7 linked regions of the Canis lupus familiaris genome follow. The protein of the gene in region 6 binds, or shares a complex with, the protein of the main gene of each other region. Links are inferred from orthologs where the notes say so. Each region holds a gene or a part of one and is shown on either strand. Other genes may lie near its edges. The genes, in order: TADA2A, TAF6L, DR1, TADA2B, YEATS2, TADA3 and MBIP.

Evidence for each region.
Region 1: TADA3 (region 6) and TADA2A share a complex: the UniProt entries of both Homo sapiens proteins name them as parts of the ADA2A-containing complex. The link is inferred for Canis lupus familiaris from reciprocal best matches to the Homo sapiens genes TADA3 and TADA2A.
Region 2: TADA3 (region 6) and TAF6L share a complex: the UniProt entries of both Homo sapiens proteins name them as parts of the STAGA transcription coactivator-HAT complex. The link is inferred for Canis lupus familiaris from reciprocal best matches to the Homo sapiens genes TADA3 and TAF6L.
Region 3: TADA3 (region 6) and DR1 share a complex: the UniProt entries of both Homo sapiens proteins name them as parts of the ADA2A-containing complex. The link is inferred for Canis lupus familiaris from reciprocal best matches to the Homo sapiens genes TADA3 and DR1.
Region 4: TADA3 (region 6) and TADA2B share a complex: the UniProt entries of both Homo sapiens proteins name them as parts of the TFTC-HAT complex. The link is inferred for Canis lupus familiaris from reciprocal best matches to the Homo sapiens genes TADA3 and TADA2B.
Region 5: TADA3 (region 6) and YEATS2 share a complex: the UniProt entries of both Homo sapiens proteins name them as parts of the ADA2A-containing complex. The link is inferred for Canis lupus familiaris from reciprocal best matches to the Homo sapiens genes TADA3 and YEATS2.
Region 7: TADA3 (region 6) and MBIP share a complex: the UniProt entries of both Homo sapiens proteins name them as parts of the ADA2A-containing complex. The link is inferred for Canis lupus familiaris from reciprocal best matches to the Homo sapiens genes TADA3 and MBIP.

Annotation. Positions count from the first base shown.
Region 1 is NC_049230.1:37,152,784-37,157,064, reverse strand, and holds the start of TADA2A (transcriptional adapter 2-alpha), read right to left. Parts: upstream 2,801-4,281; 5' UTR 2,716-2,800; intron 1-2,715. Other genes in the region: ACACA (acetyl-CoA carboxylase 1), read left to right, coding at 3,332-3,369. UniProt on the Homo sapiens protein: Component of the ATAC complex, a complex with histone acetyltransferase activity on histones H3 and H4. Required for the function of some acidic activation domains, which activate transcription from a distant site. Binds double-stranded DNA.
Region 2 is NC_049239.1:54,427,953-54,432,180, forward strand, and holds the start of TAF6L (TAF6-like RNA polymerase II p300/CBP-associated factor-associated factor 65 kDa subunit 6L), read right to left. Parts: upstream 2,801-4,228; 5' UTR 2,533-2,800; intron 2,310-2,532; 5' UTR 2,190-2,309; intron 1,943-2,189; 5' UTR 1,891-1,942; coding exon 1,883-1,890; exon of another isoform or gene 1,829-1,882; intron 1-1,828. UniProt on the Homo sapiens protein: Functions as a component of the PCAF complex. The PCAF complex is capable of efficiently acetylating histones in a nucleosomal context. The PCAF complex could be considered as the human version of the yeast SAGA complex.
Region 3 is NC_049227.1:56,206,242-56,210,389, reverse strand, and holds the start of DR1 (protein Dr1), read left to right. Parts: upstream 1-1,348; 5' UTR 1,349-1,429; coding exon 1,430-1,649; intron 1,650-4,148. UniProt on the Homo sapiens protein: The association of the DR1/DRAP1 heterodimer with TBP results in a functional repression of both activated and basal transcription of class II genes.
Region 4 is NC_049224.1:59,645,413-59,647,758, reverse strand, and holds the end of TADA2B (transcriptional adapter 2-beta), read right to left. Parts: coding exon 1,991-2,346; 3' UTR 501-1,990; downstream 1-500. UniProt on the Homo sapiens protein: Coactivates PAX5-dependent transcription together with either SMARCA4 or GCN5L2.
Region 5 is NC_049255.1:16,824,624-16,828,822, forward strand, and holds the start of YEATS2 (YEATS domain-containing protein 2), read left to right. Parts: upstream 1-1,399; 5' UTR 1,400-1,549; intron 1,550-4,199. UniProt on the Homo sapiens protein: Chromatin reader component of the ATAC complex, a complex with histone acetyltransferase activity on histones H3 and H4. YEATS2 specifically recognizes and binds histone H3 crotonylated at 'Lys-27' (H3K27cr).
Region 6 is NC_049241.1:8,521,967-8,526,077, reverse strand, and holds the start of TADA3 (transcriptional adapter 3), read right to left. Parts: upstream 2,801-4,111; 5' UTR 2,312-2,800; intron 1,633-2,311; 5' UTR 1,607-1,632; coding exon 1,400-1,606; intron 25-1,399; coding exon 1-24. Other genes in the region: ARPC4 (actin-related protein 2/3 complex subunit 4), read left to right, coding at 3,206-3,208. UniProt on the Homo sapiens protein: Functions as a component of the PCAF complex. The PCAF complex is capable of efficiently acetylating histones in a nucleosomal context. The PCAF complex could be considered as the human version of the yeast SAGA complex.
Region 7 is NC_049229.1:15,070,287-15,074,488, reverse strand, and holds the start of MBIP (MAP3K12-binding inhibitory protein 1), read left to right. Parts: upstream 1-1,402; 5' UTR 1,403-1,465; coding exon 1,466-1,594; intron 1,595-4,202. UniProt on the Homo sapiens protein: Inhibits the MAP3K12 activity to induce the activation of the JNK/SAPK pathway. Component of the ATAC complex, a complex with histone acetyltransferase activity on histones H3 and H4.

The sequences.
Region 1 (4,281 bases), on a different chromosome or scaffold from region 6:
TGCAACATACTCAATTCTACCACATTCTAGCTTTGCAATGCTAAGCAAATTATTTTGTTAAATTTTAAGGGTTTTTAAAAAAGATTTATTTTAGAAAGAGAGTACATGGAGGGGCAGAGGGAGAGAGAGAAAAATCTCAAGCAGATTCCCCACTAATCTCAGAGCCTGATGCAGGGCTCAATCCCATGACCCCAAGATCATGACCTGAACCAAAATCAAGAGTCAGACACTTAACCGACTTAGTCACTCAGGCGCCCCTATTTTGAGTTTTATTTAAGTAATCTCTGCATTCAATGTGGGGCTCAAACCCATGACCCCGAGAAATCAAGAGTCACACGCTCCTCTGACTGAGCCAGTAAGGTTCCCCAATTATTTTGTCTTTATAAGCCTGTATTCCCTCTGTAAAGCGGGTATGAGAAATAGTATCTACCTCCTAGAGTTACTGTGAGGATTAAATATCAAAATCCATATAAAAATGTACCGTGGTACCTGGCCCCTAGTAAGCCCTGCATAATGGCTACATATCTCTAATAAACAATTACTGTTTTTCTCTATCTAGTATCACTTCTCTCCTTAACCCTTCTTTCCTTTGGGAAACTGACTCACCCGCATTTCATATGGTCCTGGTGGGATTACCAATCACAATTCTGTATACCGCACCCCCACAGCTAAAGCAACCAGATCTCTTATGAAAATCCCAGTCTTGAGTAAGACGTACAAGGGCAGAAGGCAGTTGGATCCCAGTTATTCACTAATCAAAGAATTTGGTCCATGAGCTCTGGCTATTGAGATCCCCACCCCCAAGGGTGGCCCAACTGTTTAGAGTTTTTTCATTTACCCTTTTTTTTCTTTTTAAAGATTTTATTTATTTATTCATGAGAGATAGAGACATAGGTAGAGAGAGAAGCAAAGCAGGCACCATGCAGGGAGCCCAATGCCGGAGATGAACCCGAGTCTCCAGGATCAGGCCCTGGGCTGAAGGTGGTGCTAAACTGCTGAACCACCCAGGCTGCCCTGAACAAATATTTAATGTTTGTACAATATACAAAGTATTTTCTTAAAGGCAGAAATGAAATCCTACTTCACCCTAACTCAAGAAAACATCTCTCCTTCTTCTATAGTCCCACAGCTTCTCTTTTCTGGCATCACAGTCTACTTTGTGAAGATTACTTCTGAATGCATATTTTTTTCCCCATTTCTAGACTAAATGAAAGCAGGGACTACTGTCCAGCACATATCCATATGTATCAAAATGCCAGAGAAAGAACTCAAGAAATAAAATGTAATGGACAAATGTTAATTTTACAAAAGGTTAATTCATCTTTAATTCTCCTGGAATGACTTCTTTCATCTGGCGTGCTGAGCTGGGAGTATAATTCACCATTAAGTCTATATGCCATTCAGATAACATTGCTGTCAATGAACTTGTCTTTTTAAGTGGGCTGGGATAGGATGCCGTCCTCTAGTCCTAGGAAAAGTTAGTCTTTGAAGAAAAATGGGTTTAGCAAGGGGTATTATGCACTCGTTAATAAAATAATGGCCAAGGGCAGCCCCGGTGGCTCAGCGGTTTAGCGCCGCCTTCTGCCCAGGGCCTGACCCTGGAGACCCTGGATCGAGTCCCATGTCGGGCTCCCTGCGTGGAGCCTGCCCCCCCTCTCTGTGTGTGTGTGTCTCTCATCAATCAATAAATAAAATCTTAAAAAAAAAAAAAAAAGGCCAAGTGAACTTTACTCATGTGCCAGGTACTGTGGAACCACTCACTGTATGCGGATTATCTCTCTAAATCCTCACAACCAAAAAATAATAATTAATAAATAAATAAATCCTCACAACCTTCCGACATGCTGCTTTTTTTTTTTTTTTTGCTTTTTCAAATAAGGAAATGAAGCTCTGAAAGACAGGTACTTGCACAATGTCTTAAAGGTAGTAAACAGCAGCGACACTTCAACAGAGGTTAATACTAACGGTCAAGTAATGGATGTATAAATCCTTCATGTCATAAGCACAATATTGCAATAAGCAGAACTTTTTTTCCTCTCCTTTCTCACAAGAGACATTTCTGACACTAATATCCATGAAAGGATGGGTGGTAGCTCCAAATTAACATCTGCCAAATTCAAAGTCACTAGGAGGAGGAAGGGAGGCACCGCGAAGAACCGCCTTCGCTGTGGTGCAGGGGACAGACAGGTGCAAGGTCCGTAGTTTTGCAGACGAGGCTGAGCTCCTCACTTCGTTCCTTAAGCTGTATGATCTTGGGCAAGTCATTTTTCCTGAGCCTCAGTCGGCCTCAGCTCCAAAATGGAGCTGAACTACCCAGTGTTGCAAGGCCTACTTGAAAACTCGAAAAAGTAAACGTCGGTCAGGTGCAAGACACAGGGCGGCTGTTCCCGGCGTAATTAGGCGCGCCCCTGCAGACACAGCAATCCCGAGGCCGGGGCAGCGCAGGGCCGCCCAGGGGGCGGGGCGAGCCGGGGACGCCGAGGGGCGGGCCCCACGGGTCAGGCCGGGCCCGCGCCCCCCTCCCCCAGGCGTGGCGTGGCCCGGCGCCGCAAGCCCGTCCGCGGGCCCGCAGGCCGCGTTTCCCCTGGGGCCGCGAGGGCCCGCAGCCCGCCCCCTCCCCTCCCCCTCCGCCCCTTCGCCGTGCCCACCCCGCCCTCGGCCGCGAGAGGGGCTCGCGCACCGCCGCCACCCGGCCCGCAACGCCTCGTGCCTCACCTCACCGCGTCCCCTCCTCCGCGCCGAGGAGCCGCCACCCGCGCGCGCGCCCCCGGGGTGCGTGCTCGCTCCCGAGCGGCACAGGCGCGAGCGCGTCGCCGCCGCCCCTCCCCGGCCCTCGCGGCGCCGCCGCCGCCGCCGCCGCCGCCCCCTCGGCCCGCGCCCCGGCCTCGCCGCGCGCCAGCCGCGGTCCTGTGGCAGAGGCCCGGGGGTGCTGGGGCGGAGTGAGCCGCCTGCCTGACTGAGTCCGGGCGGCAGTCAGTTTTGCGTGAGGCGCGTTGGCGGTCGCCAGAGGCTTGCCGGTGCGTGGCGCCGTTCGATCCGCTTCAGAGTGCGGTGAGGTGGAGCGGGCCGGGCCGGTTCTGTCCTGCTTTTGTGTTTCTAACTTTCCCACCCCCAACCCTCTCTGCCGCCCCTGTTGCAGCGAAGGCAGCTGAGGCCACGCGGGTCTTGCCAGTGCTGCTCGTGGATTAACCAGACTGACTGACTGGTGTAAGGGTAAACAGGGTACGTTTTACTCAGATGCTTCTGGAACGTCGAAATTCTCCTCTTTGGAAAGAACCATCATCCCCTCTTTGGGCTTCAGGGGCCCAGATTGAGGCGCGATGATGACAGGATGTGGTGGTCCACTCTGATGTCAATCTTGAGGGTTAGGTACGTCCCAACGTCTCTTATTACTACTACTAACTATTATAATAGCTGCCATTTGTCGAGTATTTATTTCTTGCATGCCAGAAATTGTACAAAGGAGGTCACATCCTTGGTGTCATGTAATCTTCAAAAACGACCTTATGAGGCAGGCACTATTATTACCCCCATTTTCCAGGTGAAGACATTTAGACTGGCTTATAAGTAACTTGGGAACACACGGCTAGAAAGTGTTGGGGAAAAAAGAAAAAAAAAAAACGAAAGTGTTGGGGAGGGGATTCAAGCCGTGATAATCTTCACCATTATGCTGTTACACCTGTTTAGAAGTCTTTCATAAATGTGCCCAACCTCGCTTTGAATTCATTTGCATTTTCTGCTGGTATGGCCTCTTTATTCATCTTTCAGTATACGAATGCTACAGATTTGTGCTAAAAAATAATCAGAACATTCACACAAGTGAAAATAACGTGAAAGCCAGCTCTCACCGTTTTAAATAAACAGTTAACACTTTGGTATACTCTTCCAGACATTTTCCTGTGTATCATGTCAGTAGATACAATATAGTGTAGTTTTACATTCGATGTATCCTGAAAATCTATTTAGTCATTTAGCCAACAAATATTTAACGAGCGGACACTTTTCCAGGTGTTGAGAACTCAGCGGTGAACAAAACAGTCTCTGCCTCATATAATAGTGGGGGGAGATTGATAAGAAACAACATACATATTACTAAATAATAGATCATGCCCAGTAATGTGGCAAGTTTTATGGAAAAAAATAAATCAGAATAAAGGGATGAGTGATGTGGGCATGGTCCACTGCATGCCAGCCGGGGTCCTGTGGCAGAGGCCCCAGGAGTTATAGGGCGGACTGAGCAGCCTGCCTGACTTGAGTAGATGAGGTAGACAGGGAAGGCTT
Region 2 (4,228 bases), on a different chromosome or scaffold from region 6:
AATCCCACGTCGGGCTCCCGGTGCATGGAGCCTGCTTCTCCTTCTGCCTATGTCTCTGCCTCTCTCTCTCTCTCTCTCTCTCTCTGTGTGTGACTATCATAAATAAATAAAAATAAAAAAAATAAAAAAAAAGATTTTATTTATTTATTCATTAGAGACAGAGAGAGGCAGAGACACAGACAGAGAGAAGCAGGCTCCACGCAGGGATCCTGACATGGGACCCGGGACTCCAGGATCACACCCTGGGCCGAAGGCAGGTGCTAAACCACTGAGCCACCCAGGGATCCCTTCCCCACTGATTCTAAAAGAAACTCTAAACTCCCCAGCTTGAAATTCTGTGTTTGGTCCCAAATCCCCACAGCTGTTCAAGTGAATGGATCCCTCCTCCCAGTGAGCCCAGCCTAGTGTGCTCCGGCCTGCCCCATGCTCACCACCAGCTCTGGCTGGTCTGTCTCCCTCTTTCCTCCAAGCCTCTTTGGCAAGGCAAATCCAGTCTGTCCTTTAAGGTCTTCCTGCCCATATGCCACCGAGGACTATCGGGCTTTTAGAGCTGGACTATCTCCCAGTTTGGCTGCAAGGCCTAAGAGCAGGAACCTGCTCTTCCGCTCGCAGGAAATGGCAGAATAAGAACGCAACAAAGGGGGGCACCTGGGTGCCTCAGTCAGTTACGTAGCTGCCTTTGGATCCACCTTGGGCCCAGGTCATGATCTCAGGGTCCTGGGATCAAGCCCCACATTGGGCTCCCTGTTCAGCTGGGATCCTGCTTCTCCCTCTCCCTGTGCCCTTCCTCTAGCTCATGCTTGCTCACTTGCTCTCTCTCTCTCTCTCCTTCGCTCTCTCCAATAAGTAAAAATCGCTAAACAAAAAAATTCCTCCCAGTGGCTCTGCATTGGTTTTGGAATAAAGAACAAACCTAGGGCAGCCCGGGTGGCTCAGGGATTTAGCACTGCCTTTAGCCCAGGGCGTGATCCTGGAGTCCCAGGATTGAGTCCCACGTGAGGCTGCCTGCATGGGAGCCTGGTTCTCCTTCTGCCTGTGTCTCTGTCTCTCTCTCTCTCATGAATAAATAAATAAAATCTTTAAAAAAATAAATAAATAAATAAAAAATAAAGAACAAACCTAGGGACACGTTTGGTTCAGGTTGTGATCCTCCGGTCTTGAGATCGAATCCCTCATCAGGCTCCCTGCAAGGGAGCCTGCTTCTCCCTTGGCCTATGTCTTTGCCTCTCTGTATCTCTCATGAATAAATAAATAAATAAAATCTTAAAAAAAAGAAAAAAGTGGGACACCTGGGTGGCTCAGCGGTTGAGTGTCTGCCTTCAGCTCGGGGAGTGATCCTGGAGTCCCAGGATCAAGTCCCACATCAGGTTCCCTGCATGGAGCCTGCTTCTCCCTCTACCTATGTCTCTGCCTCTCTTTCTGTCTCTCATGAATAAATAAATAATCTTTGAAAAAATAATAAAATCTTAAAAAATAATAAAAGAACAAACCTGGTTCCCAGGTCCTGTGTGTCCACTTACTTCTACAACCCTTCTTTCCCTCTTGTGCTCTGCATTCCCACCATGGCCTCTTTCCATTTCCCCAAAACACCTGCTATCAGGATGTTCATACACTGCTCTTCTTCACTCTCCTCCTCCTCCATCCCAGTTCTGTCTAGTGGACTCCTAGTTGCTCCTTCACATCTCAGTTGAAATGACACTACTTGCTCAGGAAGTCTTCTCAAACCTCCACGCTGCCCCAATACTTTGCCTTCACAGTAGTGATCACAATTTTTTTTCCCCCGCAATTTGTAATTACATATTTGTATAGCTTTGTGATTAACACCTACCTTCCCACTAGACCGTAAGCTCCACACCAGCTAGGATCATGCCTGTTTGCTCACCTTTGCATCCCCAGCGTCCCGCACGGTGTCAGCACATAATACGCCCTCAATAAACACTGGCTACAAAAACAAATAAAAAAAGCTGTGTTTTTTTTTTTTTTTTCTAAGCACATGCTATGCCTAAGGCACAGAGCTAAGTGCTCTATACGGCGTATATTTCATTTTATCCTCATTAACAATGAGATGCGTATTATGTAAATGCCATGTCTATTTCACAGCCAAGGAAATCAAAGCTCAGAGAGCTTAAATACTCAATGACTTGTCCAAGATCATCCAGCAAGCACTAAGTAGGGAGCAGGGACTCAACTCTTGTTCCTAACCATCAGCAGTGGCGGGCTGTGCCGGGGAACAAGGCCTGGATTCCCAGCCCGAAGACTTGGCGCTGGAGACCCGCCAATGGATAATCCCGAAGTTTCTGCTTCCCCATCTGTAAAATGCGAGTAAATAGTCCTGCCGACGCGGAAAGCGCAGAGGGAGCTTCCTTACTAGGGCCCACATTAAGACGCACAAAGTCTTAATGACCAAGGTCCCCCCTCCTCAGCCTCCTCTTTGCATCCGCAGCCACGAGCCACCCTGTAAAGAGCGTGGGCACCGACCGCCACCCGCGTCGAGGGTGCGCATCCTACCCCCGGGCCTCGCTTCATCCTTACCACTTGAGCGGTGAGGTGCAGTGGGGTGGAGGAGGTCAGGGGTTACGGAACTTGGGTCACGTGGCCAGCGAAGGGGGCGGACCCCCGCGGCGCCGGCCCTAAGACCACTGAGTGCGCAGCCCGCAGGGCGGCGAGGAGTGTTCGGGTCCGCGAGGACCTGCTCACCACAGGGCTCCCGCGCGGCGAAGGAGGCTTCCGAGACGGCCGCCGCGGCGGCTGCTCCCACTCGCCCTGCTCACCCTAATTCCCTCTCTCCGAGCCCAGGACCCACCTTCCAAGAGCACAGCCAATCGGCGAGCGCCTTACAAAGTTCCCGCCCTCCCGGGGAGCTTCCCGCCACGCGATTGGTCCTTGGAAGGAGCTGTAAAAGCATCTGGGCGCCAGGGGTCACGTGACACTGAAGACTCGGGCTTCTTAAAGCAACAGCGCTTGGGGGTTTTCGAGTCCGTACCTATGGTTTCGTGTATGTTTCAAAAGCGTATTGTCGGGGATCCCTGGGCGGCTCAACGGTTTGGCCCCTGCTTTCCGCCCAGGGTGTGATCCTGGAGTCCATGGATCGAGTCCCACATCGGGCTCCCTGCATGGAGCCTGCTTCTCCCTCTGCCTGCATGCCTCTATGTCTCTCGTGAATAAATAGAGAAAATCTTAAAAAAAAAAAAAAAAAAAAGGCGTATTGTCAAGGAAAGCGTCCCCATTCTCTTGGTCCTGTCTGCTCCTGAGTTTCCGAGTATTTGCATTTACGCAATTGCAGCGAAACTTTAAACTTTGGCGCCTAAATCGGTTTTCTTTGCCCGCTTGGTGGAGCTCAACTTACCTCTCCATCACCTGCACTTCCTTTTCCCAGTAGGTATTCTCTTCGGGCAGAAGGGTCTTCTCACTGCCCCAAGCTCATGTGCAAGCTGCAGATTCCAGGGCTGTGCTCATCCTGGCACATCACTCCTGGCATCCTCACTCCTGTTCAGTAAGCCAACTATAAGCCCCTCACCTGACTAGCAGACTTCCTTGGCCATTTTACGCGCACACTTTCCTGAACTTGGGCAGTTAGTTCTCAATTAAGAACCAAATGGGCTAAAAAAAAAAAAAAAAAAAAAAAGAACCAAGTGGGCTTAGTGAGTTAAGTTACAGTATTTGGAGTCAGACCAACCTGGGTTCAAATTCTGTCACTGCTTTGGGGCAAATTACCTAACCACATTTTCACTCAACTACAAAATGGTACTAATACCCACCCCGCAGGATTACTGTAGATTAAATGAGATAATATCTGTGAAAGCACGTGGCAGACAGTGAATTAATTCCTTTATGTTCATCCAAGATGAGGTGGTTTGCAATGGGCTGTTCATTACAGAAGGGAGTATCCCGGGTCGTCTGGGTGGCTCAGCGGTTGAGGGTTGAGCGTCTGCCTTCAGCTCAGGGCGTGATCCTGGGATGCCTGGATCCAATCCCGCATGGGGCTCCCTGCATGGAGCCTGCTTCTCTCTCTGCCTCTCTCTCTACCTCTCCCTGTCTCTCATGAATAAATAAAATCTTAAAAAAAAAAAAAAAAAGGAGTATCCCATGGGAAAGCATGAATGTACACATCCTCACCCTTCCTCCCTCTCAGGGTTAGATGCTGCTGCTTCTAGAAAAGATCCTCCCAGGCCTAGAGCGGGGGGGGGGGGGGGGGGGGGGGGGGGGGGGGGGACACGACGGGACTCAA
Region 3 (4,148 bases), on a different chromosome or scaffold from region 6:
CCAGCAGCCAACGTTCAACACACCATGAAAAGGGGCTAAGCGGGAACCTCTTTAGCGTGGCTCACTGTCCGCTCTACTACATGGGATCTTACTTCTAGTTTCTGGCTTGGTTATTAGCAAGTCACTTCTCTGAAGGTTTCATTTCCCATAAAACAAGAAAATGGGTAAAGGCCCATAAAGAGCTTTGATCCGAACAACGTCTGTTAGGTGTCATCACAAAAGCGTTTCCTCCTGGCGATGTAGACGGGCACACGACGTTCTGCTTTCCCGACATCTCGTTCCCGAGCCCGGGCCTCCTTCTCTCAGCCCCAATTTGGGCTCCTAAAAGGAGATGAAATCCGGCGCTCCCTCCTCAAACAAGGCTGGGGGAGAGCTTCGAGGCCACAGCTGGTTAAGGGGCGGCGGAGGGGACCCACCCTCGCCCCCTCCCAAGCCGGGCGCGGCAGCCCGAGGGCCGGCGCGTGGCGGGCCGGCGCGTGCCGAGGGGCTCCCAGGTACCAGCGCGCGCTCGCCCCGCTCCGCTCCCCGCGAAGGGGCAGGGTCCCCGGGCGCGTGCAGAGACGACGGCAGGCGGAAGCCGCAGGCGGGGAGGCCGGACCGTTCCCGCCGCGGGCGGGTGGGGGAAGGGCTGCAGCCACACCCGGAAGTCGGTCTGCGAGGGAGAGGGGGGGCCGGAGGGGGGGTGAGGCTTCCGGTAGCGCAAAGGGTGTCGGGAGAGGCTTCCAGCAAACCTTCTTCCTTGGCCTCTGGAGGGACCACCGTTGCCGCGGCTTCGGCTTCCACGATCTGCGTTCGGGCTAAACGGCCACGGCGGCCGCTACTGTCGCTCCCCTGGTGCCCGGCTCTGTCCGTACTCGTTCCCGGGCGGCCGCCACGGCTCCCGCAGCGGCTGCGGCCGACATGTTGTGAGGCGGCGGCGCGGGTGTCTGAAGGATGGTTTGGCTGAGGCGGCGGCAGCGGCTGCTGGCGGCGGCGGCAGCTGGGGCTCCGGCTCTGTAGCGCCCAGCCCGCTGGGTGGCTGCCCGGTACCGCGGTGAGGCCAGTGCCCCGGACCTTGCCTCTCCTCAGGCGCGGTTGGGGACCGGTTAGGCGACAGCGCCCGCTCCTCGGAGGAGACACGAAGGTGGTTCCCCAGTGCTCACATTTCCGGACCACCTTGGCTTTCTCTCCGACCTGGACAGCGCTGCCCCGACCATCCTCAGCACCCCGACCTCCTTCCCGGTCTCGCCCTAAAAAATCTCTCACACGGGTGTTCCCCACCCTCACGAACCGGCTCCTCCCTACCCCCCACCCCCACCCCCACCCCCCTTCATTCTCCGCGCTCCTGGGATCACACTTTTGAGGGCAGCCTTTTGAAAATTCTTCGCGGAATAGTGGACTAGAGCTGGGGAGTTTTTAAAAGTCGGGGCGCGCGCGAGAGGGAGCTACGATGGCTTCCTCGTCCGGCAACGATGATGATCTCACTATACCTAGAGCTGCTATCAATAAGATGATCAAAGAGACTCTCCCCAACGTCCGGGTGGCCAACGATGCCCGGGAGCTGGTGGTGAACTGCTGCACTGAATTCATTCACCTTATATCTTCTGAAGCTAATGAGATTTGCAACAAGTCGGAAAAGAAGACCATCTCACCTGAGCATGTCATACAAGGTAAGTGGTACGTGTGGGGGTTTTGTTTAAGCGAGGGTCGGGGACAGCCCGCGAGTTGCGGGACCCATTCACGTCAAAGCCTTCATTCCTCTCCCCTACATAAGTACTGGCAGACGAAAAAGCCACGCGGGCATGGAAGCAGCCGATGCCTTGAGAAACTCCTGGGTAGTATTCTCGTGGTGGTGCTTTTCATCCAGCGAATACACGTAAGGATGGCAAGCGTTTAGGTCAGCCAACATCCTCCAGGGATAAAGTATTAATTGTCTCGGTTGACGGCCAGGTAAGCCGAAGCAACAAGAATTTTGCCTGCATGCCTGCCTAAAGTGGAACCTAGACGTGACGACTGAGAAATTGTCTGCCTAAAGTGGAACCTTCGATCACAACAACTGAGAAAGGAACACAGAGAGTTATCCCTTGGAAAAGGAAAAATCACACGGGAACTTCCAAGGATGAGTGGAGACAGCACCCCTTCCCCATGCGGTCTTTTCAGCAATGTAGAAGAAAAGATGAATTTTCTGAACACACGAGTAAAAGAATTCTTAACATAAATGTGTTCAACGTTGTAAAGTTTGGTGATGTTGAATAAAGACAGTATGTTTTCTGCTTTAAAAATGGTTTAGTGGTCCTACCATGTTAACCAGTCTTCTTTCCTCTTTCCTTCTTTTTTCACTTTCTTTCGTAGTTTTTTTCTTTTGTGTAGCTTGCTTTGCTCTATGGAGATAAATTTTTAAAGCTTGGATTGAAAGGTTGTAAAAGATATTTTTCATGGAACATTTCTCTGTCCTTTCTTGCTGCCTTTCCCATTTAGCTGTATACACTTAAGCTTTTATTGAACAGCATTTTTGGAAGTTTCAACCCTTTCTTATCTTGGAAAGGATTTAGTCCAATAGTAAGGACGTGGGGGACCACATTCTGATGGTTTGTTTCAGGCTAGGGAGACATATTTACTAGTCATAATGTTTTGAGAGCACATATGCTCTTATGGGAAAGTTGCATTCAATTTGAGGCGGTAATTTGCCTTTTATAATAATTCAATTAAAATCTAAAAATTTTTTGATTGCTTTTGAAGTCAGAAAAAATGATTAATTTTAATCATATTAGTGGGCATTTATTTTTTATAATTTTTAAATTTATAATTATTCTTAAATTTATAATTTAACTTTTTAGAGGTGACTTTCCTGTTATTCTGAAGTAGAGAACACATCTGCTCGTATTTACCATCTCCAATATTTTACTATCAGTATTGACAAAAGAAATGATTCATTTTTGGTCCTTAATGATGTGTGGAAGATAGATTTAAGTATACTCTGCCATTTCCATTCCTGTACATGAGGAGAAAAAAAAAATCTCTAGGAAAAACCATGTTTGATTTTAAAGCCAGTGTTTTCTACTTGTTTGGTGTGCTGAACACTCTGGCAAGTACAATGAAAGTCAAGTTCTCTATTTTTTGTTTCGTGTTTTATTTTTACATTGTGTGTACTATTGTCATAAGTCTTTCATAAGGTTATCCAACACAGATAGCTGTAATTTCCTCTTACAACTCGTAAAAAAGAAAAAATCTTTTATCAACATTGCCTTTCTAATGAAAATTGCACAAGATTTCTAAAGGATGTGCTTAAACATTTGTTTACAACACAGAAGTGGGGATTATTCCAAAAATCTAATAACACATTACGGTCTGTCTTCTTGGGTAGTTTATTCTTTTCTGGGATATATTTAGATTTCTGATTGACATGATGGAATAAAAGTGCAGCTGTAGTGAGCAGTATGCTAACTAGCTCAACTTTGGAATATGCTAAATTCAGTTTAAGATGTGAGTCAGAAAGTTCCAGTGAAAGCATTTTCATTTTCCTTTGTGTACTGGGGATGATTGATTAATTTTCTTAAAAAATCATCCATTGACCTGTTTTAGTCTTATAAATTTACCCTTTTTTTTTTTTTTTTTTTTTTTGGTAACATTGCTGTTAAGTAGAAAAGGACCTACCATTTTTGCCCCAAATTCTTCTCCAGTTAGGGGAATAAAATTTATACATTTATAATCTTATGTTAATCTCACATTGCGTAATCATTTTAAAGAATTTTTGTCTTGAGTGGTTACATTTTTAAAAAATGTATATATATTTTTAAAAAGTGTTAAAAATGTATTTTACAGATTAACCCTGGAAAGCTTGCAAAAACATGGAAGTTACAACATTTTTTATGCTTTTTGTAAGCATTAATTATTTTGGTATGTAGGATGTATCCAAATGGAATAATTAGTACATTTAAAGTTGTATGAGGGATCCCTGGATGGCGCAGCAGTTTGGCGCCTGCCTTTGGCCCAGGGCGCGATCCGGGAGACCCTGGATCGAATCCCACGTCGGGCTCCCAGTGCATGGAGCCTGCTTCTCCCTCTGCCTGTGTCTCTGCCTCTCCCTCTCTCTGTGTGACTATCATAAATAAATAAAAATTAAAAAAAAAAAAAAGAAACCTGGATGGGTTATCTTAAAAAAAAATTAA
Region 4 (2,346 bases), on a different chromosome or scaffold from region 6:
CCATTGGACAGCCTGTGTCAGCCTGGGCCACTCGTTTACAGGGACCTTGTGCTTCTCAAGCTTAAGTTGGGCAACCATTTCATAATAAAATACCAAATTGAGAACCTCACCAAACCAGGAACCTGATGGAGGAAATAGGTGAGCGACAAGCCCCGGAGGAGCTACAGCTAGCGCTGCTCAACCAGCCAGCATCCCAGCGGCTCAAAGGCCCCCCACTAAGGTTTGCGAGCGGGTTCCCAGGGCAGAGACGCTGCTGGTCTAGGAAGCCCAAGTGAGAACCACTGGCTAAGACCCTGTAAAAACGAAGTCCCGTCGCCATCACCACTCAGTGGCAGACCCAACCGGCACTCTGGGGACAGCAGCTACCCTGCAGGGGGACACATGGAGGGGCCTCAGGAGTCCTACCTCTGCTCGCTGTTTCTTCTGTCAAACTCCTGGGCTGAGCTAACCAGGAACACTTCCTGCCAGCATGCAGTATACTTTACAACTAAAGCCACAGACAAGGTATTTGAAATGTTTTATTTAATGCTGAAAAATTTACCCTGGGGGACAGGAGGATGTAAAAAGAAAGGAAAAGGCACCTTAATTAAGTCCTTGGAAATGATGAGGGTCTTTTTGTCTTTCAAATAACTTCACTTTAATTTCAAGCCCAAACATTCTGGGAGGTAAACAGTCTCTTGGTCGCTATGGGGCAGGAGCTGCAGGATGAGCTCCCCGAAGAATGGGAGTGCTGGGGGTCTGTAGTCACCCCAACTAAAGTGGGATCTTCACCATGAGAACCAACCCTGAGCAGCAGGAAGGCAAAGAACTGACTCAAGTTCTAGAAGGAAGGTACCGTGTCCCCCGACAGAAGAGGGCCCCTGCAGAAACAGTAGGGCTGGGCGGAAGCGGAGTGGAAGCTGAGGGATCCAACACCGAGACCGGAGAAGCCACACACAGTGCCTCACCCTGAAGGCTCCCTTCCTGCTTGGCCAGAGCCTGCTGTGGGGTAGCCCAGTCCAGCCTGGCTGGGCTGCAGAGAGCACTGCACACCCCCTGAAATACAACGCTCAGCCAGGCTTGCAGGGAGAAGGCTAGAGCTTCGGTGAAAAAGGTTATTGCAACCACAGTGAAAATCCTGGAGGAAGTGGACTCCAGAACTCAGCATTCCACTTTCTAAAATGAGTTCTCCCAAGTAAGTGGGGTACTTAGTCCTGTAAGTATTAGGAGCAGCAAGCAGCAGCCCCCTGGAAAGCTGGCTCAGAGTTCTGGAGCCCCTTCCACATACTAGGGAGCCTGCCCAGAGGCTGGGTGCTTGCCTGAGGTGAGCCTGCAGGCTCTACCCCCTGCAAAGGAGGCAAGGGGCAGTTTGGGGCTCCAAAGGACAAGCTCCAGCTTCTCAATGCCAAGAGTCAGGGGGAAGCTCACGTGGACACTTCAACCTGACTCTTCCTCTAAGGCTCCCAAGGAAACATCCTGTGCATCCTGTGGTTCTCCAGCCTCACCTCCCACCTGCCCCACCCTGGCCCCCACCTAAAGTGCGGCGTGCTGGGGCTGTGCTGGGGTGTCCGGGGGGGGGGGGGGGGGGGGGGAGGGGCCCAGGGGTGCCCCCGGCAGCCAGCCAAAGATCATGTCACAGGGTCAAGCTGGCTACCGGGGCCGGCGGAAAGCTGCCCCTTTTACCCGCAGCCCAAGAGTTGCGTACCAAAGGGAAGACACGAAATGACCCAATCTCATAATAGTCCCCAAACTGAACATGTAAAGGCAAATCGTCATCTTAAGGTATGACTTTTGGACTAAGTTAAAACATACATATGTCGGCTTCCCCCATGATCCGACATAAAATCGTTACTATTGCTTCTTTCAGAGAACCAGGAAAAGAATTTATAGCCTAAAAGAAAGGAACTCGCTTTGTTTAAAAAAGGAGCAACAGTGGGGGGAAGCATGTTCCCTCCCTCGCCCGGGTCCCTTGGGCTCAGAGCGCCTGGTGGCTGCCCACAAACCCACACTTTCAGGACGCATCCCTGGATATCCACCCACTCTCTGTGAGGAAGTTTAAAATCCTTTTCTTTAGGACTTTGTCCAAATAGCTTGGGAGGCGGCTCTTGGAGGGGATCCCCTGTCGCTTCTGGAGGTGGTCCTTGATAATGATGGTCTTGACGGTGACATAGCGCGCGGGGCTCAGGTTCAAGGAGCTGCAGAGCACCTTCTCGCGGTCCGACAGGAGCTCAAAGCCTGGCAGGTTCTCGATGGCTGCAAACTCACCGTCCTTGCCATCCTCCTTGCCCCTCTTGGCACCGGCGGCGCTCTTGTTCTCCTTCCTCTTCTCGCGCTTGTGCCGGGCCGCCTCATACTCAGCGGACTCCT
Region 5 (4,199 bases), on a different chromosome or scaffold from region 6:
AAGGCAGGTACTCAACTGTTGAGCCACCCAGGCATCTGGGTTGTGTGTGATATATTAATAACCCTTCAATTCCCTTATTATGCAGAGCTTTGGAGTCAGTTCTTGGCCTTACTATTCATTTATTCAACAAATGTGTATTTTAAAAATATTTATTTATTTGAGAGGGAGCACGCACTGCACACATGTGCTTGTCTGAGGGGGAGGGGCAGAGGAAGATGAGGGTGGAGTGGGGGTGGGGGGGATGGAGAGAGAGAGAATCTCAAGCTGACTCTCTGATGAGCAGAGCCTGAGGAGGGTCTCTATCCCACCACCCTGAGATCAGGACCTTGGTAGAAACCAAGAGTTGGAGGCTCAACCGGCTGTGCTAGGCAGGTGCCCCTAACAAATACTTTTTCTTTTTATTTTTTTAAGATTTTATTTGACAGAGAGAGAGCATAAGCACAGGGAGTGGCAGGCAGAAGGAGGCAGAGGGAGAAGCAGGTTTCCTGCTGAGCAGGGAGTGGACTCCATCCCAGGACTCTGGGATCATGACCTGAGCCTAGGGCAGATGCTCAACCCACTGAGCCACCTAGGCACCCTTCAACAAATACTTTTTGCATGCATGCTAAATTCTTTAGAACAATTTATTAAATTTAAGTACATCCAAAAAATTGATGACATAAATAGTATAAAAAATTATAAGTGAACTCTCTCTAAACCTACTACTCAGCTCCAGGGGTAAATTTTTACACAGTGAGTTGAACAGATTGAAGGAAGACAGAGACAGATCCCTGGAGAGCTGCAGCAGTCTTGGGCAGAGAGATGATGAGGCCTCAGGCAGGATGTTACAGGAAGAAAGAAAGGGAAAGGTGGGCTCAAAAGATACTTAGGATTTGATGGATGGTCACTCACTAGTTGTATAAACTAGTGAAGTCCCAACCTTTCCGAGCCTCAATTTCTGCATCTGCATAATAGGTCAGTGATAACTATTGTTATCCGTATCCCTAGCACCTAACACAAAGCTTGGCACAAGATGATAAACACACACAAATCATTACTACTGTTTTAGACCTGTGGGAGGTTCATCTACGCTGGGAGAATGAATATCGGTCTGTCAGACCGGAGGCTGGAACTCGCCATCTTCTAGGGAGGAATATGATAAATGACGGTGCCTCTGCCAGAACGGGCATCCAGGCTCCCCAGGCAGTGCGGCAGCACCAGTCCCCATCAGAGTCCGGCCGCCGCCAACCCCAGCTCCAGCCCTGCGCGGGGCCCAGCCCCCGCGGGAGCCCCGGCCCCGCCCACATCCCTGCAAGCCCCGCCCCCGGGCCGCGCGCGCGCCGCCGCCGCCGCCGCGCACGCGCGCCTCGCCCCGCCCCTGGTGCTGACGTGCGAGGCCGAGAGGGACGGACGGGCGGGCTCCGCCGAGCCGTGTGCTTCCGCGGGCTCCGGGGTCGCTGGGGCCTCGTGGCGGGGCGGCTCCGCGGGGCTTCGCCCGCTCCCGCACCTCCCTCGTGCCCTCTCGCCGCGCCCGGCGGGCCCTGCGCTTCGGCCGGAGACCCGGGAGAGGGTGAGTGTTGGCGGGAGCGGGGTCGGGCCGGCCGGGCGCGCGCTCCGCTCTCCCGGGCATTGTCTGGGCGGGGGCGGCGCGGGCACGTGCGCTCCCCTCCCCCACCCTGCCCGCCGCGCGGCCCCGGCGGGCGGGGGAGGGGGAGGGAGCCGGCGACTGCGGGCCGCCGAGCACCGCGGGGAGCGGGCCGGGTGAGCGTGCCGGTCGGGGGCGTCTCCGGAGCGGGAGCCTGCAGCTGCGTGTGTGGGGTCCTTCCTCGGGGCTCAGCGCTCTCCGAGGGCGGCGGGGTCAGGGACCCCCGGGGCTGGAGCTCTCGGCCTGTTGGGCTCGGTGGCCTGCGGTGGAGACGGAGACGAGATTTGGCTCCAGCACCGGCAAGTTGTGGGTTTACCGACAGGCACCGCGGAGTCTGCTTCCAACCTGTCGCCATCCTTACGGTCCTCCCTCGCGAAGGATGAGTGGGATTTAGAAAGGTTGGAGGATTTTCCAGGCATACGCTCCAGTTAGAAGCACCAGAGGCGTGACACAGTGCGGGGTGACAGCGGAAAGCTTGGGAAAGTGAGGACTTGGAGGAAAGGCTGGTTTGGTGGGTTGTGGCCGGATTGCAAAAGACAATGAATGAGGTTTATATCATAACCTTGTCTTCTATCGTGAGTGTAATCAGGGTAAAGAATAGAAAGTAGAGGAGGAAAATATCACCAAATAACCCCACGGCCCTGACACCTCTTTCTTAGTGTTCTGGATGTGTTTGCTGGTATTTTCATCTGAGCTTGTAACAGTTGCAATTAGAGTTTACTTACAATTTTCCATTCTCTTTTCTCCTTATGGTGTTAAAACGAGATGTAATATACAGTATTCGGCAGTATCCTTTATTCTTAATAAGCAAATAGCAAGTATTCATCATAGAAAAATGAAGAAATATAGACAAGCAAAATGAGGAAGAGTATTCATAGTTCTGCTGCCTCGAGATATTGCGTATTTTTGGTTCTGTATATTCTTTCAAAGATAGTGGGGCAGATAATGCCCTGGTTAGGAATTTAGTTTTCATACGAATCCTTTGAAGGTTTTAAGAAGGCAGGTAGCATAATCTGACTGCTCTGTAGAGGAAGAGGGTGAATATGGGAGCGGGGAGATCAGTTAGGATGCTGTTTGCAGTACCTTGAACTAGGTCCGTGGCAGCGAGATGAAGAGTACAGAGATTTAAACATTATTTTGGTTGTAGAATGAACAAGACTTGTGAGTGGGTTAGTGGGAAAATAGGAGACTTCTTTACTTTTTTTTTTTTTAATGTGTTTTTAAGGATTTGTTTATTTGAGAGAGAAGGATTGCTTGAGTCCTAGAGAGCAGGAGGAGGGGGCAGGGGTGGGGAGGAGAGAGAGAGAGAGAATCTCCAGTAGACACTCTGCTGAGCGCGGAGCTGAAGTGGGGCTCTATCTTTTGGCCCTGAGATCATGACTTGAACTGTCAAGAGTCGAATGTTTAACATACTCGGTCACCCAAGCACCCTTTTATATATTTTTTAAAATTAAGTTAAACTCTCTTCCCATCCTGGGGCTTGAACTCAGGTCTCTGAGATCAAGAGTTGCATCCTCTACTTACTGAGCTAATCAGATGCCCCAAGAATTCTCTCTCTTTTTTTTTTTTTGGTAGTTGTTTTGAGCAGCTATGGGTAGATAGTGACATTTACTGAGAGGGAGAAGAATGGAAGAGAAACTTGAAGGGGGAAAAATCACGAGTTCTGTTTTGGGTATATTAAATGTGAGATGTATATCAGTTATGAAGTTGGTATATTGAGGAAATTGGATGTGCAGGTTTAGAGCTCATGGAAGAGAGAGCTAGGAGCTGTTAGATAAAACTTTGGAATTCATTACATAGATGATATTGAAAGGTATGGGACTGCATGAGATCACCAAGGGAAAGAATATAGATAGAGAAGTGAAAATTGACACTTGATCGCTAATACTTCGAGCTGCAGTATGGGAAGAAGATTGAACATAGAATGGAAGAAACAGCCAATGAGGTAGGGAAAAAAGGCAGAAGACCAAAAGGTGTCATGGAAGCCAGGAAAAATAAGTTCAGAGAGGATAGAGGATGTCCATCCCTGACTTTGAGATGTTTAGTGAGATGCTCAATTGGATTTGGAGGTTGTTGGTTTTGTTATTGGTATTATTATTTTTAAGATTAAAAAATTTTTAGTGATCTCTACACCCATCGTGGGGCTTGAACTTAAAACCTGGAGATCAAGAGTCTCATGTGCCACCAGCTGAACCAGCCAGGCACCTCTGGTCATTGTTATTATTATCCAGAGTTCTAGAAGTGGGAGATGGAAACGGGATTGGAATAATTAATTGATTGGGGCTTGAGGAAGGGAAGATAATGAGTGTGGATTAGAAAAACCTGGGCCTTTTTCGAGATGCCTTATTTCCATCTGCTCCCAAACTAAATTTGGTAGGTGAAAAATGGTGTCTTGTTTAATTTTTCATTCATTGATTACTAGAGTGTTTGAACATTTTTTTGTTTGTTTGTTTGAACATTTTTTAACATATATTTGCCATTGGTGATTTTCTGTATCCTGTGTATATCTTTTTGTGTTTATCACTTTTGGGAATTGATTATCAAGAGTCCTTTTAGATCTTGAAAACATGTAGTT
Region 6 (4,111 bases):
CTTATCCTGCCAGTCAGTGAGGATCTGAAATTTACGAGAGACTATCGCTGAGAGGAAGAAGAGAAGTCATAGGACAAGTTTTTCTCCCAATGAAGAATTAGGATTTAGAACTTGACAAGACGCCAAGGTCTTTTTTATTTATCCATCCCCCTTTCATTTAGTAAACTCCTACTCACCCTTCAAAACTCAGTTCCTTTTCACAGGACTTCATTCATACACTTCTCATCATTCCATTTGTCTGGACTGATTCACCTCTATCACCTAAGCCAGTCACACAGTGTTTAGGTCAAACTAATGATCATGCCCCAGTGCATATCAGCGCTGGAATATGCTGGTGGTAACTTTTTGATGAATGCAAACAAGACTCCCAGTAAACCTTCACTTCAAATGTCACAACTGGGAAGCCTTCTCATCAGTTACCCAGCCTCTTACACGCTAAAATACAACTGAATTTGCCCTGCTCAAAAAGCTTCAGTGCACTCCCATGGACCACAAGATAACTATTCATCCTTTGAGGACCTATTAAAATGGCATCTTGGTCCCCTCTGAGTCTCTGACACTTTGTACCAGTAGAACTGTTGGCCTAAATGTGTTGTTTGATCATACTGGAACGAACAGCATACCTTGTCTTTGTAACTAGACTATAAGCTACTGGAGACCAGGACATTCATTTTAACTGCCTCTGTTCCCCAGGATCTGGCATAGCATCTGGCACACAGGGCTCAGGGAATGCTTATGTCGTAAACAGAAATATCAGAGTAGTATCGATAATTAGCATTTGAAATACTTAGTGTCAGATGTTGGGCTGAGGCTTTTGCAAAAAACAAAACAAAACAAAACAAAAACCTCTCTTTTAATCCTCACAGAAGCTCAGAGATAGCTCCTATTATTCATCCCAGTTTGCTGATAGGGAACCAATGCTCAGTGACAGGAGGCAACTTTCCCAAAGTCACATACGTAGAAAAAAGTAATACTAAGCAAGTGCTTAGGCCAGGATTCAAATCCAGGTCTTCTCAATCCAGTTTCCCTAGTACTTTTAACCATAACACAACATCACCTGGTATCTGTCTGCCCTCCCCCCGCCTTTGAGTTAGCAAACTCCCTAAAGGCCAGAAGTGTCCTCATTACCTCTCTCTAATGACTAGCAGAGGACCCAGAACATAACGGTGGGGTGCGGTGGGGTCAATAAATGCTTAGCAAATCAGAAATCTTGCAATTTATGAGGATCATGCACGTTCTTATATATTCTATGCATCACATGAGCGCAGTGTGGGTCTCTCCTTACCCCTCTCTCTAAGCTCCTGTATCCCGGGCCTCAGTGGGTAGGTGCTAACTCAATGATCTAACCCGTAACTTGTCACAGTCCACCCCTGGTGATAACCTCTCTGCAGAGTATCACCTGGGTTTCGGCCTCGAGAACCCGCAGGCGCCGGCTGGCAGAGGAAAGCAGGGTCTCAAGCTCCAGCTGCAGAGTGTCCAGCTCTTCAATGCCGATGCCATCATCCTCAGAGCGGGCTAGCACAGCCGTGTAGCGTGGACAGACCTTCAGGTGGTCCACAGACTTGAAGTCATGGAACTGCAAGGGGCAGTCCTTCAGTTCACTCATGGCCCAGGATACGGGACCCTGTGGAACTGGAGAGGAGAGAGCCATTGATAGGAGAGAAACTGGCACGAGAAAAGTCCAAGAGCTCCCTCCATCCAGGGACAGACTCCAGGAGAAAGCCAGGCTTCGGTACCTAACTACAAGATTGATGGCGCGGCTCCTACTCACAGGACACTCGCTGTACATCAAGCCAGGTACAGACACTTTACTGGCTTCTCACTGAATTCCTCACCCAACCCCATGAGCAGGGACAATGGCGACCTACACCTTACAGATACGAAAACTCAGACTCTGTAAGGGTGGGTACCTGCCCACGGTTACCAAGAGGCAATCTGAATCCAGATAGTTTTGAGTCTTTGCCCTGTCTTTCTGATGCTCTTCTGTCCTACTGCTCCCGGGTCTGGCTAAGCCTCTAAGCTCCAAACATCCCATTCTTACAATGCTAATGTTCTCTGTGCCTCCTCGCTTCTTCTCTCACCCCCTCCCGTCGTGGTCCCTTTTCTTGGCCGCTGACAGTGGTTAAGAATATGGGCTGGTAAGCCAGGCAGGCACAGCCTTTACCATTCTCTAGTTATGTAGCTCCAAACGTGTTATTTAGCCTTCCTGAGTCTCGGTTTTTCCATCTACAAAATGGGGACCAAAGAAATCTGGGTCTGTCTCCCCATAAGAAGTCTGAATCTGTAAAATGGGGATCACGATAGTACCTACCTCCCCGGGATGCTCTGAGGATTATGAAAGGATGCTTGTCAAGAGCCCAGTTCAGTGCCTGGCACAGAAGTGCGCCTGTTTAGTGGCTGGCCCCTCCTGCGGGTCGCCCCAGTGACTTGCCTTCGGGGCCCCCGTCCTCTGGGGACCCCCTAACGCGGCCCCCGCCCCCTCTACCTCCTCACTGCAGCCTCCTGCTGCCTCCTACGGCCCCCAGGCCACGGGAGGGGGCGGGGAGTTCCGGTTGGTGGAGCAACCGCCCCGGAACTGGCCAGGGGCGGGCCCCCCGCAGAGGACGCGGGGGTGGGCGACGCGGGCGGGAGCCCACTGCGGCGTGCGGGGAAGGGTGGGCAGGCCGCGGGCGAGCCTACTGCAGGTGGGGGAGGGCTCGGCCTCAGGCCCACTCTGGGGATCGGCCCGAGGCTGGGGGCGGGGCCCGGCAGCCAAGCCCTCCGCCCGGCAGCTCTTCCCGCGGAGCCCCGGGGGCTGCAGGTAGGAGGGGCCCAGAGCGAGGCTAGGGGCGCAGAACCGGAAGGAACGGAGGGCTCCTCCGCCTCGCCTTGTCCTAATATGGTGCCCAACCTGAGGCCGGGCCGCACCACTGCCCGACTACGGGGCACGACGAGAGGAGGGCCAGGGCCGCAAGCCAGAGCTGCGTGGATAACGGCATGAGCTCCCGCATCGATTCGAAAGTTCCGCAGTCTAAAGATGTGAAGACAGTCCTAGCGGGGAGACCTGCCAAGGACCGGGGGCTCCCAGGCTCCCCCTCCCCGCTCGGGCATAGTGGTCCCGTCCGGAAGTCCGGGCGCAGACCGAGGCTGCGCCCCTCGCGGAAGGGCAGGCGTCGCGGGCTGGCCACTTCCGCACTTCCGCTTTCCGGCCCAGCCAGCGCCCGCGATGGTGAGCGAGCCGGGCCCCGCGCCAGGGACCCCCGCTGTTTTGCCTCAAACGCTGTGGGTCTGGGGGCGAGGCGGCTTTGCAGCGGAGAGCCCCGGGGCCGAGGGCTGCTGCGGGGTGTGGGGGCATGATGAGGCTGGGAGGAGAGGGCGGGGCGGGAGCCCAAGTGAGGAAGGGGCGAGCGGGGGGCGCCCCGGGAGGACGCAGGCCTCGCAGGTTCGTGGTTTGTCTTTCGGGCCAGGTGGGGAACTGTGAGGCGTCGACAGGACGCCGGGAGTGGGGCCTGGGAGGTCGGCGGGAGAGCCTTGAAGGCACTCAGTAGGCTTCCTCGCCCGTAGTAGGGCCGGCGTAGCAAGGGCGCCTCACCCAGGGTAGAGCTTTGCTAAATACACTGTCCTGTCCTCTCCTGCCCGCTTGACCCCACAGTTTTCCAAAGGAAGCGTCTCCACTTCCTTATCCCACTCTTCGCTTACTTCCCTGCCTTGCTTCTGCTCCACGGAAGGATTATGCCGCCGCCACCCAGACCTCTTCCTGGTTAGAATTCCACCGTGTTAACCTTAACCATAGTACGAGAGCTCTGTCCTACGGATCCCTCCCTTCCTGGAAATCCTCGCAGCTGATACATGTCGGTCTTCCTGGGAGTCGAGGCTTTGGTTCCCCACCTTCCTCCTCACATTTTCCCTAGTGGTGCCTGTCCATTCCCGGCTTCCATGACCTTGTGTATTCTGGTGGTTCATGAGTCTGCCTTCCTAGCTCTCTTGTAGGGTTTGCCTGGATATCTTGAAGACACCTTCAGATCACACCTTCAGATCGAAAATCATTTTCTCTCAACCAGCTTTCCCCATGTTGCTTATCCTGGCTTTGTGGCATCTTACCTCAGCTAGCAGTCTGGATTTTATTTTATTT
Region 7 (4,202 bases), on a different chromosome or scaffold from region 6:
TTTTTCTAGTTACCCTGTTATAATTATTCTCTTCTAAAAAGAGAACCAGAGGCAAAGAAAATATACAGCATTGCAAAGAATCATGAGTTTAAATTAGAGATGGAGATGAGTGCCTTGAATGAGAAGGCTGCTCAATTTGGGATTATATATTGTGAAATCTTTTTCTGGATGTTTCTAGACATAGGCTGGATTATAAATTGTATATCTTGCTGTGAACAAGGGAACAGACAAGATTTCTCAAGATCCTGTCAAGCCTGGTGATCTTTGGAAATGAAAGCCTAATTAAGAGGCTCCCTAGGGACAGGTCAAAGGCGTTCTTTTATCCCTACTGACCCCATTCCAGTTCTCTGATGCCTATTCTGCTCCTTTTCATTCAGCCTACTCTAAAACTGAAGAATACATATTGTGCAAGTTTCTACCTTTGCTTCCTCTACTGTAAATGCATTAGACTATTAGAATTAAGAATTTTAAATACCTTGTCCCTAATCTCTGAACTGACGGGTTTTGTTTTTTAATAGAGCTTAACATTTAAAATTCTTCTAACCTTTGTTCTTTTCTTCAATTGAACATAAAGCTTTTAAATGTTGGACTATAAAAGTACTTCAAATATCTTTTAATAAATCTATCTGATGAGTAATACGCTGTCAAATTTCAATTCGCATTTATTTTTTCTAATTTCAAAGATTGTGCTGCATGCAATTACTTATTTGAATTAAACTGTTAGAATCGTTTTGAGTGTCTCACTTCTTTGAAAGGTTTAGGTGAGTGTCTCTACAGTATCACTCAGAGAATAGCAACTGATGCACGTTTTAAAACTTGACATAATTATTTTGCAGATTTAAAGTAATTAATGTCCTTTCTTCCATTGATAGTACAGCAGGAACAGTAGAGCATTTTATTGTTCTTTTATAGCCTCTGCTCCCTCACATGAAAAATTAGTCACGTTAATTTGTGTAAGTTTTTAAACTTTGCAGAAGTGAAAATGTTCTAAATACAAGCGTACGTGAAAGAGTTTTCCAGGGTGTAGAGGTGTGGGCCCTGCTGCACCCCCGAACAGCAATCTTTGTCCAGACCACTCCACAGCGCCATGTTAAAAGCTAAAATTTTAACTTCTAAAATTCTGACGTTTAGGTCTAAGTCTCCTCTTCAACACTCATAAGCAACACCTAAAAACACAAGACAGGCTTCAGACGCTAACGTTCCCTAGACCACCGCCCCAATCACCGTCCCAAATTCCGTACGCAGCTCCGCCAGGTCGGCAATTACCCGCTCCGGCTCCTTGGCGTGACGCTCCAGCTGCACCTGATTGGCGCACCGGCTTGTCAGTCACGAGGGTCCTCGAAGGCCCGGGCCGGACGAGACGCTGTGTTTTTACGTCATTTACCGGCGACGCAAGCGGGCGGGCGAGGGGGGCGGGTGTTGTGAGCACAGCTCGGTGGTGGCGGGGGTAGCCTGCGAAGGTGTCATGGCTGCTGCCGTTGAGCTTAGCCTCTCGAGCAGTGGTGACAGGAGTCCGGAACGGAGCTGCAGCCCCAATCTCTCCCAAGAGGTGCTCCGCGAAATCTTTCGCTCACTGCATAGCCTGGTGGGACAAGTGAGTGGTGGTCTGTGGGAGCAGAGCAGGGGGTTGGGAACTCTCCGGCCCCTCCCCCCTTTTTTCCTCTAGCGGAGGCGGGGGGCTGCTTAGGGCTGCCGGGGACCGGGACTGAGTACTGAGGCCGGCGGAGGAGCCTGAGCCTAGCTGCGGTCGGAGCGAGGAAGGCCGTACGGGCTGGCAATTCTCCCCAAGAGTGAGAGGATAGTGTAAGTGAAAAACCTGGCTCCCAGAAGAACATGCTTGGAGAGAGCGAAGGCGTAAAAAGCTTTGTGGGTTTGGAGGGTGCCTGGCGCTCAGCATCCCCTATCCTTCAGTGAATTTGTGATAGAAATTGATAGAAGTAACGGCCTGAGAGTTTTGGCAAAGCTCTCTCCGCTTTTTTTTTGGGGGGGGGGGGGGGTTGATTTGCTTTTAGGAGTCACTTGGTTTTCTTTCTTTTTTTTTTTTTCCTTCTGGTTGTTACATGTGCATCTCTTACCCTTTCATATGGGGAGGAAAAATGAAAGGAATTAATGTAAATACTTCTTGCATAAAATTCGATGAGTTATCCATGATTGATAGAGTTTGCATCAGAACTGTTTGTCATTTAATTATTAGCTAATTTAACTGACTGATGAATAGCTTCTGCAGAAATGTCATAATAAATTGGGTTTAAATAAAAGTACTCCTTACACTATTCAATCAAGTCAACTGTTTCATGAAATAAAATGCAAAGCATATTACAAATGATAAACAACTTGAAAATAAGTTTGTTTGCTTTTAAAAAGGAAATCTTTTGTATCTTAGACGGAATATTTTTTTACTCTAAAAGTTTGTTATGGGGTTGGTATTAGTGCATGTAGTAGGCACAGCAAACATTTATGTCGAGGATAATGTTTATGAAAACAACACCTGTCTAGTTTGTAAAAAGTTATTTTTAAAAGCCGTGAGTGGATGGAGAATTAATTTTTTAAAAGGTTATTTCAGTATTTTTAAAAATCCTAATATGTTTGTCCTTAGAAAAAGCATTACTCTAAGTTAAACATTTAATTTGGTCTAACGGAACAATTATTAACAGAATCTGCTAAAAGTTGTAACTGTTGAGCTCAGTTGTTTGCCGCCAACTTATTAAAATTTTTTAAAGACTTGGGGACATTAACATTTTAGTCTTATCACCCAAGACCTGTAATGGTTAAAAGTCTGAGAACGTTTTCTGTCTTGGATATTGGAATTTTAAGGTTTATTTATATTTTAATGTCACGATGAAAAAAGTTTATGCTTACCTGTAATTTACAGTTTTATTTTCAGTGGTGATAAATTTTTTAAAGTAACATTAAGAAATAATTTAAACATTTCTTTTGAAATATTTTTGCATACTGAATTTTTAAAACTCATTTACAGATTTTAAACATTCGCGTATTTTGTGATTAAAGTTTACTTATGTCACCTGTCAAAAATGTTGAGAGTACATATTTGGAAAGTTTACATGACACATTGAAGGGACCATCTATACAGGTGTCAAAAAATTAAATCATTGTCTCATCAATTAAATACTATTTTGATATTAGTCTTTATATTTTGAGATGTATTGTTTAAAGGGAAGAATGAAAGCCACAATATTATAAAATTGCCCCTGGAGGAAATCACTATGTACTTTTGCAACAAGTTTATAGGATATTTTTTTTAATGTAAGTTTCAAAAAAAAAAAAAGTAAGTTTCAATATGCCTAGTTTCATTCTGCATAGTATCATTATATTGTTGGCTCTCCTCAATAGGAAACATAAAATTGAATGTTAAAAAGTATCCCAGATTTCAAATTTACTTATTTTAACCTTATTGCTTGCCACAGCATGGCTCATTCTACCAAGTTGAAGCATTATTTATTGTTAGCTTGGAGTTTCATACTAATTTTTTATGGAAAATGCTTACTTAAATAGTCCATATTAATGTCACACCAATACATTTTTGAGTGAATGCTTTACGTTTACAAGTTATAAAGGGTAAAAATGCATCGAATTCGTATTACTAATAGGGAATTTGTTGAATAAATAGTTGGATATATTATGATAATTTTAAAGTTAATTTGTATCATTATGTAGTTTTCTTTAAAAAAACCAAGTGTCTTTAATTGTGCTTGAAAGGCTTACATAATTATGCTGAATTGAAAGGAGAATATGATCCCAACATTAAGATTTATTTTATTTGTTTATTTTCTTTAGGAAATTTGATGCTTTACTTTAGTTGAGGATTTGTCTGTGTTATCCCAAAACTCTATTTATAAATTTGTTAGGAACTGTAGATCTCTTAGAGGACTGTAGAAGTACAGTAATTAAATAATATAAACTAAGATTAATGCAGTAATCTTAATGTAAAACTTTAGTTAATATAATCTAATCTCTGCCAGTGTAGCCTATCCAAAATTTCTTATTTCTTTATAGTTGTCTGATACAGACTTTAAATGTTTCTTGTCTCATGGAAAAGGTGGTAAATTTTTGTCATACAGTATTCATTAAGTATACTGCCTTTTTTGGGTAACTTTGGATTTCTGGTTCTTTGTACAGTGATTCATCTTTTTGTTTTATTAGAATCACAACTCATAACATCAGTATTTGAACTAATGTAATAC